Caenorhabditis elegans: one gene and its partners. The protein of the gene in region 2 purifies or fractionates together with the protein of the main gene of each other region. This does not show direct contact. Each region holds a gene or a part of one and is shown on either strand. Other genes may lie near its edges. The genes, in order: hpo-8, acs-4 and paqr-2.

Evidence for each region.
Region 1: the proteins of acs-4 (region 2) and hpo-8 purify together in Caenorhabditis elegans (affinity purification with western blotting, with the first as the bait; one study listed by BioGRID). This does not show direct contact.
Region 3: the proteins of acs-4 (region 2) and paqr-2 purify together in Caenorhabditis elegans (affinity purification with western blotting; one study listed by BioGRID). This does not show direct contact.

What each region holds. Positions count from the first base shown.
Region 1 is NC_003283.11:6,836,510-6,840,754, reverse strand, and holds hpo-8 (Very-long-chain (3R)-3-hydroxyacyl-CoA dehydratase hpo-8), read right to left. Parts: upstream 1,467-4,245; 5' UTR 1,460-1,466; coding exon 1,410-1,459; intron 1,351-1,409; coding exon 1,233-1,350; intron 1,184-1,232; coding exon 1,076-1,183; intron 1,025-1,075; coding exon 900-1,024; intron 848-899; coding exon 592-847; 3' UTR 501-591; downstream 1-500. Other genes in the region: lgc-54 (Ligand-Gated ion Channel), read left to right, coding at 3-102, 150-234, 288-469; T15B7.15 (GRIP domain-containing protein), read left to right, coding at 2,211-2,276, 2,335-2,457, 2,505-2,646, 2,703-2,856, 3,251-3,521, 3,565-3,672, 3,722-3,874, 3,920-4,030; col-143 (Nematode cuticle collagen N-terminal domain-containing protein), read right to left, coding at 4,092-4,245. UniProt on the Caenorhabditis elegans protein: Catalyzes the third of the four reactions of the long-chain fatty acids elongation cycle. This endoplasmic reticulum-bound enzymatic process, allows the addition of two carbons to the chain of long- and very long-chain fatty acids/VLCFAs per cycle.
Region 2 is NC_003281.10:7,166,095-7,172,204, reverse strand, and holds acs-4 (long-chain-fatty-acid--CoA ligase), read right to left. Parts: upstream 4,368-6,110; coding exon 4,314-4,367; intron 4,246-4,313; coding exon 4,099-4,245; intron 4,052-4,098; coding exon 3,962-4,051; intron 3,885-3,961; coding exon 3,105-3,884; intron 3,056-3,104; coding exon 2,098-3,055; intron 2,019-2,097; coding exon 1,852-2,018; 3' UTR 1,215-1,851; downstream 1-1,214.
Region 3 is NC_003281.10:5,374,810-5,382,153, forward strand, and holds paqr-2 (Adiponectin receptor protein), read right to left. Parts: upstream 5,121-7,344; 5' UTR 5,111-5,120; coding exon 5,027-5,110; intron 4,950-5,026; coding exon 4,860-4,949; intron 4,328-4,859; coding exon 4,224-4,327; intron 4,176-4,223; coding exon 4,036-4,175; intron 3,354-4,035; coding exon 2,986-3,353; intron 2,578-2,985; coding exon 1,843-2,577; intron 1,630-1,842; coding exon 1,405-1,629; 3' UTR 1,404-1,404; intron 1,356-1,403; 3' UTR 890-1,355; downstream 1-889. Other genes in the region: Y32H12A.6 (Flavodoxin-like domain-containing protein), read right to left, coding at 6,231-6,406, 6,452-6,917, 6,984-7,181.

The DNA of each region.
Region 1 (4,245 bases), on a different chromosome or scaffold from region 2:
AGAAAAAAAGACAGAAAGAAAAATAACTATGGTGCAACTACAGTAACCAATGCAAATGCAGCAGAGAGCGACTTGAGGAGCAATTATGATGAGCCTTTTTCAGTGAGATTATTGATTTTTTTTATTATTTTAAATGTATTATCTTTTAGCAGAACGGGACTACAAGCCATAAAATTTCAATTTCTCGACAAGCGAACAATATGTTCGAATCTTTGCACGCTCTCGCACAATTCGGTACTTTTAAATAAATTTGTGCATCGTTTATTCTCTAAATATTACTTTTCCAGGACTCCTCACGGATGACGATGACGAAAATACCAAATGGACTGCACAAAATGTCGACAAATTCTGCAGAAAAGCATTTCCATTGTCGTTTTGTTTTCTGAATCTCATATATTGGTGTTATTATTTATACCAGAATTATTTGGCAAAGGCCGAAGCTCTTGCTCAAATGACGCCACCATCCTGATTTTCGGGTGACTGTTTTTTTAGAAGACATTACGGGAGAATAATTTATGAATAAAGTTGAATTTTGATTGGTTGCAATTAATCTAGAATACACTGTAATATAAATACACGTAGAATTTTTCTTTACTGCTTCTTCTTGCTTCCTCCGCCGAGAATCTTCTTTCTTTGACCGATCATGTAGAAGTAAAGTTGTGGGAATCCGGGAATGTAGCTGAGAGCAGCAATGATGAGCACCCACCAGAAGGAGATTCCCATGTTGAGACGGTTTGGCATCTCGAGGGTAAGGATTTTCTTCTCATCAACTTCATTTAATGAAGCGAACAACGTCAGAAGCTCTCCGGAGACTCCCATTGGGTAGAGAACGTAGAAGAGGGTGTATCTGTAATTAAAATAGTTGAGTTATAGCATTGATCCCCAGAATCTCAAAATACCTGAGGTAGAGAAGGAAATATGGGATTGGTTGTTTCAATACGCTGAGTGCATAGAACGAGTACCGGATGACCTCTGTTACGGACCAGGCAACAAGAAGAAGTGGAACTCCGATACTGAAGCGAGCCTAAAAATTGGTTTAATTTATTCAAGTTTAAGATAAAAAATTCCAACTCACTGTTGAGCACAAGTGGAGGATTGGCCAGACAAGGACGACGCGAGATGTTACTTGCATTGCGGTAGTTCCAACTGGTGAACGAACAAGTCCGACAATTGCGTGAATGACCTGAATATGATAATTTCTTTAAAAGTTTTTCAATTTCAACAAAGCTAACCTCGAGAATAGCTGCGGTTTGGAAGATTTTAAGCTCAAATTCCACCGATTCGTAAAGTTGTGGCCATGTCAAGCCATTAGCGAGTCCAAGAACTGTTTTCACAAGAATTGCAGACCATCTGAAATTAATTTAAATTATTAAAATTATAGTGAACTTCTTTCAGAAAAAAAAACGTACCCTAAAATTTGTAACACGTTGTACGCAACCAGATACGTCTGAACGCTCATTGTTACCCTGCAAAAATAAGGATTTTAGGCAATGCAAAGAAAAGAAAATGAGAAAAGTATATCACGCCACACGAAAAAAAAGATGAAAGGGTAGAATGGAGTGATGTACAACAGAAACGTTATCAGTCAACTTGCGGGGAGTTTGAAGAAACATTTAGCGAAAACATAAAATGGGACATTTTATGTAATGTAAAACATTGGTAAAATTCGAAAGTTTAATTGAAAATATATAAATCTTCATACGATATCTTGGTTGATACAGGAAAAATGTAAATTTCTTAGTTTTTCAGAAAAATTATGAGAGCGAGGTTATTTATTTTTAATAAAAATTGAAGACTTCAGTTTTTTAATTGGAAATTAATCAAAAAATCTAGAAATAAATCACTTAAATTAAGAAAATGAAAGAAAATAATTTTTAAAATTTTAATTCTTAAGAAACATTTTTCTTGACTACAACACTCCGAAATAACCCTTCGCGCTTTGTTTATCGTAAATCTACATCAGGGCGTTTTTGGGGACAGTTTAAAAAATAATTTTTTGTGGAACAGGAACAGGAACTTGAAGCAGTTTTTTTTGTTCTTGTATTAAAATATTAAATGTAATTTTGAAACTAAAGAAGACTTATTTATATTTAAGCAAACGCAGGAAATTAGTTGTTGCACCATGGACGGAAATTGAAATTTTATGGCTGACTGATCTGAACTCTAGACATTCTGAGTTCTTTTACGTATTACTTTAGTTACTCACAACTATGATTTCTAAACAACGCCAGGATTCTGATGAAAAACCTCTCGAGGAACAGTTAGAGTTACTGCAGGTGGTTTTAATTTTTGAAAATATTATCAAAATTACTTTAAATTTTATGCTTCATTCAGGAAAAAATCGCAGAAATGATAGTAACAAATGAGGCGACCGAGAATCAGTTGACAAATTTAACATTCGAGTCGAACGATGTGATTATTTATCTGAAAAAATTGGTTGAAGAGAAAGACGAAGAGGTAAGAGAGGAATTAGAGAAAAAGGCAAAGAACGAGCATTGTTTCAGACTGCTCGTTTGGAAGAAATGTTGGAAGAACAGAGAAAAGAATCAGATAGAATGTTTAAAATTCATAGAGATAATTCTGAATTAGAAGAGAAGAAATTGAAAGAGCAAATTGAAAAGTTAAAGAGTGAAATGAGCATTATGGGTAGGCCGAAAAGAGAATAGTGAAAGTAGAATTAAAAACTTTTTCAAAATTTTTAGATACACAACTGGGAAACCAGCATCGTATCGAGCTAGAAATCATTGAGATGGGTGCAAAACTGAATTCTCTACAAGGTGTCGTTGATGAACAGGAAGAGACAATTCGAAGAAAAGAAGCAGAAGAAAGAAGCGTCAAAATTGCAGCTATTGAGCAGTAGGTTTCAAAAAATTGTATAAATTGAGGGGTTACGATGGTAGATGGGCTCGCCTTCGTGCCTATTTGTCTGCGTCTGCCTAGAGCCTACACGCCTGAACGGCTCCCTAAAATTTTGCAACAAAAATTATTAGTCAAAAATATATATTTCAGTTCCTAAAACCTACTAAACCAACACAAGTATCGTTTTTTGTGTTCCAAAAAATTGTCTTTAATATCAGGAGTTACCGAGTTTGCCAAGCTATGGAAATTGCATTTTCTGAAAAAAAAATATGCAGACTCATTTAGCATCTGGTTGTTTAAAAGAAATACTTGGTCCTTTTCGACCACTAAAGTCTCGTACTTTTATATTGTCACGTCGCAAATCATCTAGAGAATTAAATGAAAATTCCAGAGCTCGTGCAGATTTGAGCGCCGAGTTCGAGCAAGCTGTTGCTGAGATCCGTATTGAAGCAAGTCTGGAGAGCAAAGGTCACACTCTGATGAATAATCAAGTAATTGAACATTTGGAATTAGAACTTACCAGAAAGAAGCAAGATATGTTACGAATGGAGCAAATGCTCGAGGAGAAACAATCCGAATTGACGCAAGAAATAGGAAAAACTCAGGAACGTGAAGAAGAGAATTTAAAATTACGGAGTCTTTTGGAAAAGAGTGGCCAGACTGTGAGTTATTTCCTTCCTAACTTTTTTATTTAGTCTTTTCCAGACTGAAAAGGCATTGAAAGATAGTAAGAGACGACTGGAAGAATCGGAGAATAAACGAAAAACTACTCTCGAGAAATATATTCAAATTGAGAATGAATTGAATAGTAAAGTAAGTGTTGAAACTTTTGAAATAAATATAGCAAAATAATAACTTATAGCTAGACGAAGCTCTTCAAAACTCAGACAAGTGCCAAAAAATGACGTCACTTCTTGAAGATCAGCTTCTGAGAGAACAACAGACAAGGAAAGCGACAATTGATTCTCACAAGGCTCAAAATAAGAAAATTGAAGAACTCAAAGTATTCTTTAAGGTAATTCAAAACAACTTATTCCATTATTTTTTCTCTTTATTTCAGGATGTTCTATCCAGTGAAGAAGGTCTTCTAGACGAAGTTATAAAAGAGAATCGAAATGCTGTGTTTGCTCATCTTGCTTTGATTATATCTAGAATTCCAATTGTTCGCTAATGTACATATATGAAATTATCAAAAATTGTATGCTGAATATTTATTAAACAATGACTGTTGCTTAGACGGCCTGTGCGTGAACGCGAGCTCTGCGTTGAACGGCAACACGGCGGCGAGCTGCGATACGGTGACGGACAACAACACGGTTGCGGGCAACATTTCGATTGACAGCGACGCGGCGGTTGACGGCCATGACAGAAGAACGGGCTGGGCAT
Region 2 (6,110 bases):
ATTTGAAAATTGATTGTAAATGCCAGAACTGTCACAAAATAACCAATTAACACACACTGAAGTTCATTAATTAACTTATTTTTCCAAGTAACCTATTTGCTTACTTTCAGATTTCCGTGAAAACTCGATTTGATAAGTTTGAAAAATATGAAATAAAACAATGGGGGAAATGCGAAACAGGCAACCAAAAATTGATAGATTTGAGCAACTCGATATACTGGATGAAATGAAATCATTTGTGCTTGTATAGTTTAATTTCAAGGATATTTGCAGTGGGTTACTTACCGTAGTACAATTAGAAAGAAGTTCAAAGCCAGATGAATCTGGTTCAGTTGTTGATTTGCTCATATCTTTTGTTCTCCGTGCTGCAAATGATTCTGTAACTCTTATATTCAATCAAGAAAGAGTGCTAATTTGAAATGTGACTATCAGAAACCGCACAGAATCTGAATTGTCTGGTCAATATGCGCCACAAAAAGTTATGCCTGCCTTGGAGGCACACAGGCAAGCACTTTTATGCATACGTGAAAGATTTGATTTCGGAAATTATTGAAATTCAAAAAATAAATTTTCTGTTTTTCTAAAATTGTGGGTTTTGATATTTGCAGTCACTGATTATGGAATGTTATGAAGAGGGAAATTTCAAAAACTAAGGAAGAAGACGGCATTTTCATAACATTTACCATTTACCAATCATAACATTACCTTTATTTTTTAAAGGTTTTATCCCAACATTAAAAATGTGTACAATAATTATCAAATTTTCAGTTTAAAAGATAAAGGAAAGATGAGGACTAAAAATTCCAGTCAATCAAGGCTTCTTCAATTTTCTACTTCTACGTGAAAACTCTCGCCTGAAAAAGTAAGTTTAAAGCTCACAAGTAATATAAAATTACTCTTCCGTTTGAAATTAACCTGCATGATTTATTCCAATTAAAATGAAAAATCAATTTCAAAACAAACTGTCATTAGAGCCCCTCTTGCAGCTGATAAATTTATTGGATCATCAATCAATAATCCACCAAAATATCTCGATAGAATAGTAAGTGTTGTATATGTTCCAAAAAAGATATATTGATCTTCAAATGAAGATTTCTTCTTTGTTTTGTCTATTCTTGTTCTAGGCGTCACAGGAATCGCTCATCTTCGAACCAATGACGTTGAAAGATGGTCGATCAACGACTAGTGTGTAGATTCAGTACAGAAGATCATTTATCAATCTTTTTTATTTCACATCTGTGTGTGACAATACAAGGATGGAATCAAATAGATGTTTTGGGGAGAAGGGACGAGATAAATAGAAAAAGATGGGGGAAAATGTGTGTATTTCTGTGTCGGTGTGAAAGGAACAACCCATTTGGCAAAAACAAACTATTGATCGAATGAATTTGTAAAAATTGAAAATCTATCTTAACACCCTTGAAATCTCGATGGATTTCATTGAAAAACAAAAATGTTGTCAGCATTTTCATTTTTGAAAACAATCTACCTAATTTTCAGGGGCGACCAAAATATAAAGCGTTTGGATGTTTGGGGAAAAGGAATCAGGGGCTCTAGAAAGAATAAGTTACGAATAGGTACGATGTGTGAAAAACAAGTTAGAAAAGCTCTTTGATGGTGGAAAGGGAAGGAGAATACGGGAAAGAGTAGCATGAAACACGAATCTTTACAGAATAGGAATGAAACCTAAAGCTTCCGGTATGAAAGCTAACAGATTATGCTGCTATAAATGAGGGAAGTATACAAAAGAGATGGGAATCCAATATCGAGTATCTCGAATAGGTGGGGAAGAGCAAGTTACCAGTGTGAAAAGGGCGGGAAAAGAAAAAAAGAAAGCTAGGAAGACATGAATCAATTCTTTTTGAGCTGCTTATACAGATCATCGAGGGTCTTCTGGTAGGCCATTTGGATAGGCTTTCTCTTCAGCTTGAGTGCTTCGGTAAGAAGGCCAGTGTCAGGAGTCCAAATCTCGGGGCAAAGATGAATCGCGGCTGGGATTTCAGAGCGGGAAAGTTTGCCTGAAACAATATACATTTTTAGGGAACCACAATTTAATTATTTTAAACATTAGAACGTTCATAATTTCTCAAAACTAACTTTTCTTGGCATGTTCTTCGAGTTGTTTCTTGTAGGCAGCAATGACCTTCTTATCTTCACACATCGTCTTCATTTCACTAGTTGATACACCTTCCGCTTCAGCAATCTTCTCCAAGTGCTTCTGGTTTGGAACCACAAGAGCAACAACACTGTCTTCCATTCCACTTCCATAAACGCAGATGTTATCAACAATTGGGCAATTGAGAAGTGCACATTCAACTTTAGCGAGAGAAACATATTCTCCGTGTTGCAATTTAACCAAATCCTTCTTTCTGTCAATAATGAGAAGAGAACCATCATCACGCTTCTGTCCAATATCTCCAGTGGCAAAGTACACTTTTCCTTTATAGGTGATGAAATCTTCAGCGGTCTTTTCTGGTTGTTTATAATATCCAGGTGAGATGTTTTCTCCAGAAATAAGAATCTCTCCTTGTGGTGGATCATTGAATGGTGAGTATCCACCTTCGGACCACTCACGAAGAGCAATATCTGAGCATCTGACTGGGGGACCAACGGTTCCTGTGCTCAAGTCGTTGATATCAGCAACACAAGCAGCTCCACAAGTTTCTGTGAGTCCGTATCCTTGAACAACAGGGCAGCACATACAAATATTCATGAATCTTTGAGTTTCAGCGTTCAATGGGGCTCCACCAGACAAAACACCACGAAGTTTTCCTCCCAAAAGTCTGCGAATCTTTTTGAATACGATGCGATCAAGGAATGGACTGCAGTAACCCTCCAAATAGCGGGATCTCTTTCTCTCATAATTAAGTTTGAACAATTCTTGCATGAAACGAGGTGATGCAGCAACTTCTTCGGAGACGGCCTTGAAAATTCGATCCATAATAGCTGGAACAGCAGCCATAAGAGTTGGGCGGAGGGCATGACAATCTCCATGTGTTCCCTTTTGGATTTTTGATGCACGGTCGTGAAGTGTCAAGGGTGAAGAATATCCAACCTTAAAATAAATGGGTAAAATGAGTTTTAAATCCAATAAAAATTCTTACCTTGGCTCCTTTAGTCAAACATGTCAATTCGGCATCCAATTCGAGAATATGAGCAAGTGGAAGATACCCAATGTATGTATCTGCATTGCATATGATTCCAACACCATCCCCTTGTCCCAACAAAGCAGCCACAACGTTTTGATGAAGAAGAATAACTCCTTTTGGCTGACCAGTTGTGCCAGAAGTGTACATGATGAGGGCAATGTCTGACTTCACAGCTGTAGATTCTTTAACTTGTTCCTGATTGCGAGTAAGAAGTCCGCTCAGTGATAGAACATGTTTGAACTGATCACGGAACGGTGCAAGCTCTGGTGCTGGTGCTTTCTGGTCCACAGGAGCGAAATAAATCAGGGTCTTCAGAGTTGGACATTTCTTTCCAAGCGTTACAATCTTTGGAAGAAGTTCCGAAGAAGTGACAAGAATTGTAGCTTCAGTCTCTCCGATGGCATGAGCAATTGCGTCTTCTCCCAAAGTTGCGTATACAGTTACGATGGTGACGTTGGCACGGAAACAGGCAAGAGCAGTGATGAGCCAATCTGCACGAGTTTCAGCAAAGATAACAACTTTCGGATTTTGTTCTTCATGGGCAAGATCCTTGATACCGGCTGCGAGGCGGGCGACTTGAGTTTCAACTTCTTTGTAGCTCTGCCACACATACTCTCCAAGATGCCACTTCTCAAACACACGGCCTCCAGGTTGTTTATCTTCGTGAACTTCAATAAGCTGTCGAGTTCCCAAACATGGCGATTCATCGTAGAGTTCGACGCACTTTCTCCAAACCTAAAATTTAAAGCATGAAATGTGCTACTTCAGCTTTTATCGAATTCTGCAATGCAGATCTTTGCACACTTGCCTACCTTATCAACTGTGTCTTTTCCTGGGAATGTTTCTGAAGCATGTCCTTGAATATTACGGATTGGTCCATCACGATCGTCAACCCAATTTGCCTGAAACAGATAATACGGATAAATTAATATTAAAAGTATTGACAAACCTTTACTCGCTCCGACTTCCGAAGCTTTTCCGTTGGCGAATTGAACAACTGGTATGGCAAGTAGTTGAGACAATCGTATATGAAAAACCACACACGAAGGATGGCCATAGCTACACGAATCCATATTGGTGATTCACCTTTCACTACCTGAAAATAGAACTTGTTGGAAACTTTCAAACAAAAAATCGTAAAATGTCCTAAACAAAAACACGAACCTGGCCGAGTGTCTTATCCTTTGAAGAATCGTATACCGAAACTTTCCGTTTCATCTGTAAATAACGAAAATTAGAAGAGATTATTCTAAAGAAAAATGGGAAGAATGTACAAGACCGTGACGCATGGAATAGAGAATGTATATAATATGATATGTATACAGAAGCAGCATTTCTACAGTTTTGGGAACATAAAGAACAATTTTTAATTCACGATGAGCAAAATTGCTAGACAAAAAATTACGAGAATTGCGAGAATAATGCAAGAAGGGAAAATATATTTCTGTGCAAATATTTGACAATTTTTTTTCTCATCTTCTCCCGTTCAGAGTGCAGCCTATTTGTCTTACATCAAAAAGTCCAATAATTGTTGCAGTTTTTGCGACGTTCTTTTTAAACATTATTATGGTTAGCTGCCGATGAAAAAGAGGAAACTACATTATGTCTTTGACGGAACTCTTGATAGCATCATTTTTATAAAGTTGGAGGTGTTTCGTTTCGGACTGCAAAAGCAGAAAAAAGGGAAAACGGAAAATCGTGCTGATAAGGAAAAAACCTCAAAATAATTCCGGCATGAAAAGTCACCACGAGTTTTAAATCGTAGTTTGATTATTGTAAAATGTTAAAATTAAAAAAAAAAGTCTTAGACAGTTATTGTTGTAAAGTTAACAGCCTTCAATCTCTGGACGAAAACAATTCCTCGTCTTATCAGCATCAGTAAAAATAATATCATTATCAGGTGTTTTGCGTTATCAAATCAGTGAAATGTCGTTCGCGGTAACAATTAAGAACATGCGGAAGATGTATCGTGTTCACAATTTTCACCGTAAAAATTTCGAATGGAAAAAAGAACTGTCCGAAACAAATGACGTCTCCTTCTACATTCTGCGTGGCAACATCGCAGTTCTTCACAGGAAAAGAGAAAGAGGAGGAAAACTGCACACGCCCGTATTCTTTTCCTCTTCCTCCCTCTTCTTCCACTCTGTTCTCTCAGTTTTTTTAAACATAGGAGCGGCTCCCCTCACTCCCCATCTATTCCGCGCAGTCGTGAGACGCAGACAATGCTAGGAATGCATAGATGAACGCTGAGTTGGAAGCGGAGGTCTTTCTGCGCACACGAGTAGAGACAAAACAGAGAAAGCAACTCAGAACATGGCGCGAGATTCGGATATGGCACCACTTTTGACCTCAAGAGGACCAACAAGCTTTAAGAATAATTGTTACATTCGAGTTACATAAGTTTATACATTTAAATGTTAAGTAAGCCTTATTTTCAGAAATGCTTGCCTAAATCAGAAAAAAAACAACAGCGAGAAAATGTTAAAATGAACGTCTGGGAAAACTATTTTTTGTGATGAATCATAAGGATGGGCTGTAGAAAAAGGAAATTAAATTTTGAGAACGCGGTTTTCCTAGAAAATCATCTATAATAGTTGGACATTCAATCTAAATGGAAACAGTTAGAGAAATACTAGAATTATTCATATTGTCAAGATATTCGTCAGCCGTTTTAAATCTAATTACACGCCACCGAGGAGATACGCGACTGAAACCCTGTGGTTGCGTATTGGGTGACAGGGTACTCTTGGTGGAGGGATTAGGACAGTGTATTGATTGAAATGGGGTAATATCATACAAAAAGTAGAGTAAATAATATCTCATCAACAACGTGTTGAACTCGGTTATGTAAAACTGAATTCAGAATCATTTCGACAAGTAAAATAACTCATTTCTGCAACGTAAACGACGGGTTTGTCTACAGTCGTCATACAACTTTCACTTAATCAGTTCATCTTCTTA
Region 3 (7,344 bases), 1.8 Mb from region 2:
CTTTCGTTGAAATTTTCATTTATTAGTTTATTAAAAAATGGGAGGAGCTTAAATAAAAAACAAAATAAAAAATAACCCACGTTTCACATGACAGTTTATATATTTTGATAATAACAAAATATTATTTTTCATTTTGATTCAGGAAATTTTCAGGAGAATGGGAGGAAAGTTGGAGCTAATAAATCGAAAATTTTGTTGTTTTTATCAGAGCAGAGACAAGAAATTGTTAGAATGCGGCGACCCGAAAGAAAAAAGAAAGAAAAATAGAATAAAAAACTGAGGAGCAACAAGTGAACAATGTGAGAGAACAAACTAGCCGCAGAGGGTGCAGACATGCATACAAGTGTACGAAGAGAACGGAGACTCTGCGTGACACACAACTCTGGCACTGGAATAATTTTTTGGGGCTGAAAACAAAAAATTCTAAAATAAACAAACAAATCTGAAAATTTGTCTACTTTTGGTACCGTACTCCATTTAAAGGGACATTCTACTATAGTATGCGTGGGTCTCGCAGAGATACAATATTTAATCCCTATTTTCGTAGATGCGCCTTTCAAGTTACTGTACTCGAGATTGTTTAATAAAATTCCTTAAATTATCGACTTCAAACCAATTTCAGATTTCAGCACTTCCTGATCGCCTGAGAACATTGAAAAACCAAAAATCTGATCAAATTTCAAGTAAAATGAAGAAAAAGGGTGATTTTGCTAGATTTTCACCTGCATGGTGTGGAACTACGAGTTTTTTCTGTAGAAAACTGATGAGAAATTGCAAGATATGTGATTTCGTGAATGTTTCGCTAAAACTCTTAAATTTCCGCTATTTTACAGACACTAGCGCTTGGTAATTATGCCGACTTCATGAATTGTTCGAAAAATCACAAAAAAAAATCGAAAATTTTATTTTAAATCGCCTAGACGACTACACTCACACGAAAATAGAATAATGGGCTACACAGTAAAATGAAATTCATAAAATACGAAAAAGAAAAAAAAAACAAAGCTCGAAAAGTTCAATGTTAAAGTTTAAAAAAACCAAATCTGGTTCCGAGAAAATGAAGGAGAACGCGAAAACAAGAAAAGAATAATAAGAAAACTAATTTCAATGGAAGAAAACGGAACGAAAAGGGGGAATAAAATGAAAAAAGGAGTGTATAGAATTTATCACATTGGAATTTTAGCTGAGAATGTTTCGACAGATAGTTGAGGAGCGTGGGGAAGGGGAACCAGGTAATTTGAAAGAAAATGGAAAAAAAAATGGTGAAAATGAGCAGAAAAAGGATAGTATGAAGAGGGTTGTAGCAGCTTCAAGAAGAGCATATATACGCAACTATACATATTGTGCAGAGGTTTCTGAAAATTATAAATTTTTTAAAAATAAAAAATTGGAAACAAATCTACCTCATAAACCAACATCCGCCGGTGTCCAGTCTCTGACATTGAGTGGCTCGTCGAGCCCAAGCAAAGTGCCAACGAAGGAAGGATTCAACTCGTTACCGTAACGAGTTTTCAGTTGATCCGGGCAGGATCCTTTCATGAGCTTATGCATTCCCATTTGGGAGATCGCGTGATAATGAACAAAAGCGGCGAGCACGACAAATGTGTGAAAGAGTTGATGCGATTGGAACTGAAAAAATAAACGTTATTAGTTTTTTTTTGAGTAAAAAAGATTGTTTAGCTTTTATTTTTTGAGTCTTTTTCGTATTTTCGTAAATTTTCTTTTGCAAAATGTGGTTTAAAATCTTTAAAGTTATGTTGTCTGGTTTTCCGGAAAACCGAGAATTGAAAATATATATTTTTATATTTTTCTCCAATTGCTAGTTTTTTTGAAACCACATACCCAAATATCGCACTTTCCAGGGAAACATCTCTCAGGTACACGTGTCGCATAGAGTGTTGCACCACCAATATACATGGCTCCCATCATAATCATCAAATGAACTTGTGACTCCTCAACCATATAATGAACACCGTCAACTACAAGTAAATGAAATGCTGGGACCACAGCCGATAGGCCCATTGCTATGAAAACTGCTGCTCGTACAGGCCGGAATTTGGGCTCCGCGAATTTATCCCAAAGCGAGACGACCATTGCAGCGATTCCAAGTATAATAATCATTCCGTTGTATATTATCATTGGTTGAGGTCTACAGTAGAATGCAAAATAGATCCACGGAACAAATGATCCAACGATGAGTAAGGAAATCCCAGTGTAATCGAGTTTACTGAACAGTTTAGCCATTTCAATAGAATGGCATGCAACCGTATGAAAAAGGAATGACATTCCAAGACATATCACTGCACCGAGGAAAAACGCCGAGTAGATCAATTTCTCCACCCATTGCATTTGATCATGGGGACGAGTCAGAAACCATATTCCGATACCGAAGAACGCAACACATCCATACATATGAGTCCAAATGTTTCCTGTTTCAGTGTGCAATGCAAAAATACTCTTGAAGCAGCTACTGAACGATGGAAGTGGAGGACGATGTCCTGTACGGAGGTATTCGTTATCTTGAAGCCATTCGGGTAGAGTTTCGAAATTTGTTGCCTTCCAGCGGGCTTCCCAGAACTGAAAATAATTTTGTAATATTTTTTTTTTAACTTTAATCGTTTTTTTTAACCAAAAAATTATTCTTTAAGATTTCTCATAATTTCAAGTAATTGTCTTGCAAAAAATATGTAGAAACTTATCAAAAATGTATATTTTTGAAAATTTTCTTATCAATAGCTCACATGTGTGCAAAATTTTTTGGCTCCTAGTACAAAGAAAATTTTGAATGTAATCAGAAAACTTTTAATAGAAAGAAAAACCAAATCAAACATTTTCGGAGATTCGTGAATTTTCAAAACTTATTAGAAATGTTTTTCTCTACATAATTTGTTTAAAGCAAAATTGCCGCCAATTAACATTTATCGCTGCATTTTTTGCTTTTTTTTGTTGCAATTTTGCAATTATCTCACTGGAGTTTTCCCTCACCCTCTTGATAACAGCTCTTGGTCCTTCTCCAGTTTCGCTAGGAATAATAACTTCTTCTTCATTAATCTCAACTTCAAGCTCATCATCATCATCACTATGATCCAAATGAATCTCCGCATCATGTCCAGCAGTAACAAATCTCAAATGTTTTCCATCTTCGTGTCCCCGACGTTGTGGATGTAATTTGTATTTGACAATTCGTCGACGATGCTGATTTCCACCTTCTTCATGATTATCATGAATAACTGCAACTGTCATCTTTTCTCCTTTTGCATTCGGCATACTCCATGCTCGACGATGTCCTTTTTTGAATGGTAATGCGGCTGCTTTAGACGTTGATGGGACATCTCCATTGTCAATTTCGATTCCTATAGAAATCATTTAGTAATAGTGTAGTTTAGTGAAAGGAGGGAAGTATTTTTGAAAAAAACGAATGAGAACACTTCCTGTCACCTAAAATTAATTTGAGGTGACGGTCAACAAGTTTTTTTTTGGTTGGAAATTTAACTTTTAATTCACTAATTTATTAAACGAGAGATCGGTGTAAATGATGCGATTTTTGGTTTATTTCGTTACACTGTAAACAAATAGTAAAAAAAAATTTTTTTTTGAAAATGTTCTCATAAATTGCGCAAAACTCTTATTTTTTGTTTGGTTTTGCTTTAATATCAAAAGCTCAAAAGAAATATTTTGTTTTGTTTTTATTGAACATTTTTAAAAATCGATTTTTTTACATTTAAAAGCCTTTTTTTCTTGAACTCTAACCTTTATGGGAATTAAATTGGATAAATCGATAATTTTTGAAAAAATTGGTTTAGATTTTTATTTGGAACATCATAAATAATGTAAATGTGTGAATTTTTTAATTAGAAACATTTCTTCAAAAATTCCATTTTTATGGACGAATTTTAATACTTCTCAAGAAGAATTTGTGGGAATGAACTATGAAATGAATATCAAAAATCGGTTCAAATACAAAAAGCATGTTATGCGAAATATTAAAGTATTTTTCGCACTTTAAAAAAAAATCATTTTTTTCAATAACCTTACCTTCAAGCAAAGTTGGAAGCCTATTCTGCCTTGTCACATACATTGATTCGTCTCTTTGCTGACTTGCAGGCTGTTCAACAACCTTACTATGACGAACAATAATCTCAAATCGTTGACCATCTGATGGCTGACTATTCGGACTGAAACAATGTTTTTTTGGAAGAAAAAAAAATCTGATGATTATTTACAATTGAACATCGACTTGATCAACAATCACATTCTGATTCTCTTGTGTATCAGCCAACTGCAGCGGTCCGTCAGTGATAATATTTTCTGCCTCTCGGAGCACATCCTGCAATGCACTTTTCAATTTTTCAAAATTTGATTTCTGATCACCGTAAAAATAACATTTGTCATATGAGGGCAAGCAGTGATAAATATGAAAACACGAAGTGGCTGGCTGGAGCTTGAAGAATGATATTCTAGCTTTTTTAATATTAAATAAGAATTAGCGGTAACTGACCACTAAAAAAATAGGAAAAGGTTTCAGAAAAATTCTCACTATTTGTTTTTATTGGTTTGCAGGAAATTCAAAAATAATGCCGTTAATTTTTTTTTGTATATCTGAAAAAACCTAAACTTCAGAAACTTTAAAATTTTTATACAGCTACAGCTTTAAATACCGAGAAAAAATTTCAATTTTTTTTTGAAAATAGAAGATCTGAAATAGTGGAAAATTACCATTTCTTTGAAAACACTTTTTCTTCAAAAAAACATCTCCAAACAGTGAGAATTTCTTAAAACTTCTAGCTCCAGCCACCACTCACCGACAACAAAAATCAATAATCATATGCTAATCTCTTTCAACCCAACAAAAAACGTACAGTAACACTCCGCAATGGGCTTTGTAGATTACTGCTATTCCGATTTTCCATAATTAATTCATCATTGTCCAACACCATCACCATATCTCTCTGAAATGTAATAAATTAAAACTAAAAACTGTGTTTTTTTTCTTTTTTCATAGAATAGATCACGTGAAATAGATTACCTCGTCAAACGAATTTCGAACGCTTTTTTGCAAAAGTTTTTGCGATTCCGCCGGTGTTGCCGATTCCACGTCATCTTCCTCCATTTTGTTAAAGCTGAATTTTAGTTTTTAAAATTTTTTTCAACCGAGAATATAAGAAATTCCAGAAAAAAATCAAATAAAATCGGAACTGTGAGAGAATAAAGCGGATATTGATTAAAAAGCTTTTGCTCACACATACAAACCAAAAGCGCAAAGTTTTCTCCGTTTTCTCAAGAAAGCTTATGAGACAAGAGGGCGACTCGTGCTGCTGGAATGTGTGTTGGTGCGGGGAAGCGCATTTGCTGACCGGAGACTCAGAAGAGGTCAAAGTACTCCTGCATGAATTGGATCCAATGTAGTGAAATTATGACTTCCTTGTTTAAAATATGAGTTTCTGAAAAATTTGTTGAGTATTTTCAACGAGCTTTCAAGTTAAAACAGATTTTTTGTGTTTCCCGATGTAAAGCTCCAAGACGTGTTCGAAGAAATGGCGGAAAAATCGGCGGAAAAAAATTTGGGAAGTTACGCGAATTTTCCATGAAAAAAAGATTCGAAGGCAATTTTTCATATAATTTTTAAATAGTTTTCAATTTAAGTTATCGAAAATTGAGGATTTTAATGTTTTAAATGAAGAAAACACCTGAAAAACCACAAAACTTCGCTAAAAATTAACAAAAGATAAACGAAAAAGACACAATTGATATTCGTGATGAGACCCAAAGTGGAAGTGGTATGTGCCTTTAACAACTCGTTACGGTATTTTGCTTCTAAACTTTTTTTTGAGTTCTTTTACAAAAAGGTTTTCGTAGATTTCTAGTTTTCAGCACTGATCAAACTCATTCTAATTTTTTAATGCTTCGAAATATGCAAAAAAAAACTCCAATTATTTACAAGAAGCAACGGAAACAGCTAAACTTTAGAGCCCGTGCCGAGACCCGTCCTGGAAATGACATGCGCCTTTAAAACTACACTACGGTAATTTGGATCAATATTTACTTTCTCAAAAATTAATGTTTTCTTATTATTTTGGCAGTCACCAATATTCTTTAAAAAAAGCGAATTTATTTATGAAAAATGTTGAAAAAATAATACAAATATACAAAATATCTTTAAAATGCAGGAAAATTCAATTAAAGCTCGATATATAAACAATTATTAAAATATAAATATTTATATTCAAATTTTATTTCGACTTCTTATGTTTCTCTTCGACTTCATTATCATCCGAAGAGCTCTCAGATCTATCGTCTCCAACTTCCGATTCTTCGGTGTCTTCACCACTCATTCCAGGAAGATGCTTATCCATTTGCAAAAGGAGTTCGAACGAAAATTCCACAAATCGCTCCATAGTTTGCTTATCTGAAACTCAACATTTTAACAATAATCATTATTACGGTATGATACCAGTGTCAGTTGTATTGAAAAGTTCGACTTCAGTAATTTGCCTAGCTCCCAAGATTTTCATTCGTTTCAGCAAAGTTCTGGCGACTTTATTGAACCCAGCTGGCCCATCATCACTGCTTCCGAAGCCAACAATTGAAAATCTGATTTTCTCGAAATTCGCCTTCTTTCTAAGCTTCGAGTCCGCTGCGAGATCCTCAAGCCATTCCAAAAACCATTCTGTCGAGGGTGTCGGCTGACCACCAGCCGTAGTTTCAGAGATAAAAATACAAAATCCCTTGAAGGCCATTAACTCCTTCACATCCAAAGAGTCTGACCACCAAATCATCGGTTTTCGGACCATTTCATCACAAAGCTTGTCGTGAATCACCTTGGCCCACGGAGCTGCGAGCCCGTCTTCTTTTCCTAGAACTATTACGACGGCTTCTGATTCGGCAAGTTCCTCGGCAAGTCGTTCTTCTTCTTTTTTCTGAAAGAAATTGGAAGTCGTGGCGAGACCAGATTTTTGTTGATTTTGTTTTCCACTATTACCAACCTTTGAATAACGTTCATAATATGCATGGCACTTGCGATAGAGCAGATAGACAAATCCCGGCATCAGAACTCCCAAAGCGGCAGTTATGTATAGCAGAATCTCGTCCTTTCCTTCCAAATAATCCTCGAGCCACGACTGCGGCTCCTTGCCACGTGGACCTCCTTCAGGTCGCAGTGGTGGAACTTGGTAGGCACACATTTGGATATTTTACTGAAATTCGAGCAATTCTCAAATAAGATAATAATAAAAAGATTCAAAACGTAGACACCGATTTAGTTTTGAGAGAAGTGTCTGCGCCTTTAATATAGCCATTTTCTTCATTAAAAACGTACCAAAATTACACCACAACACATCATGCAAG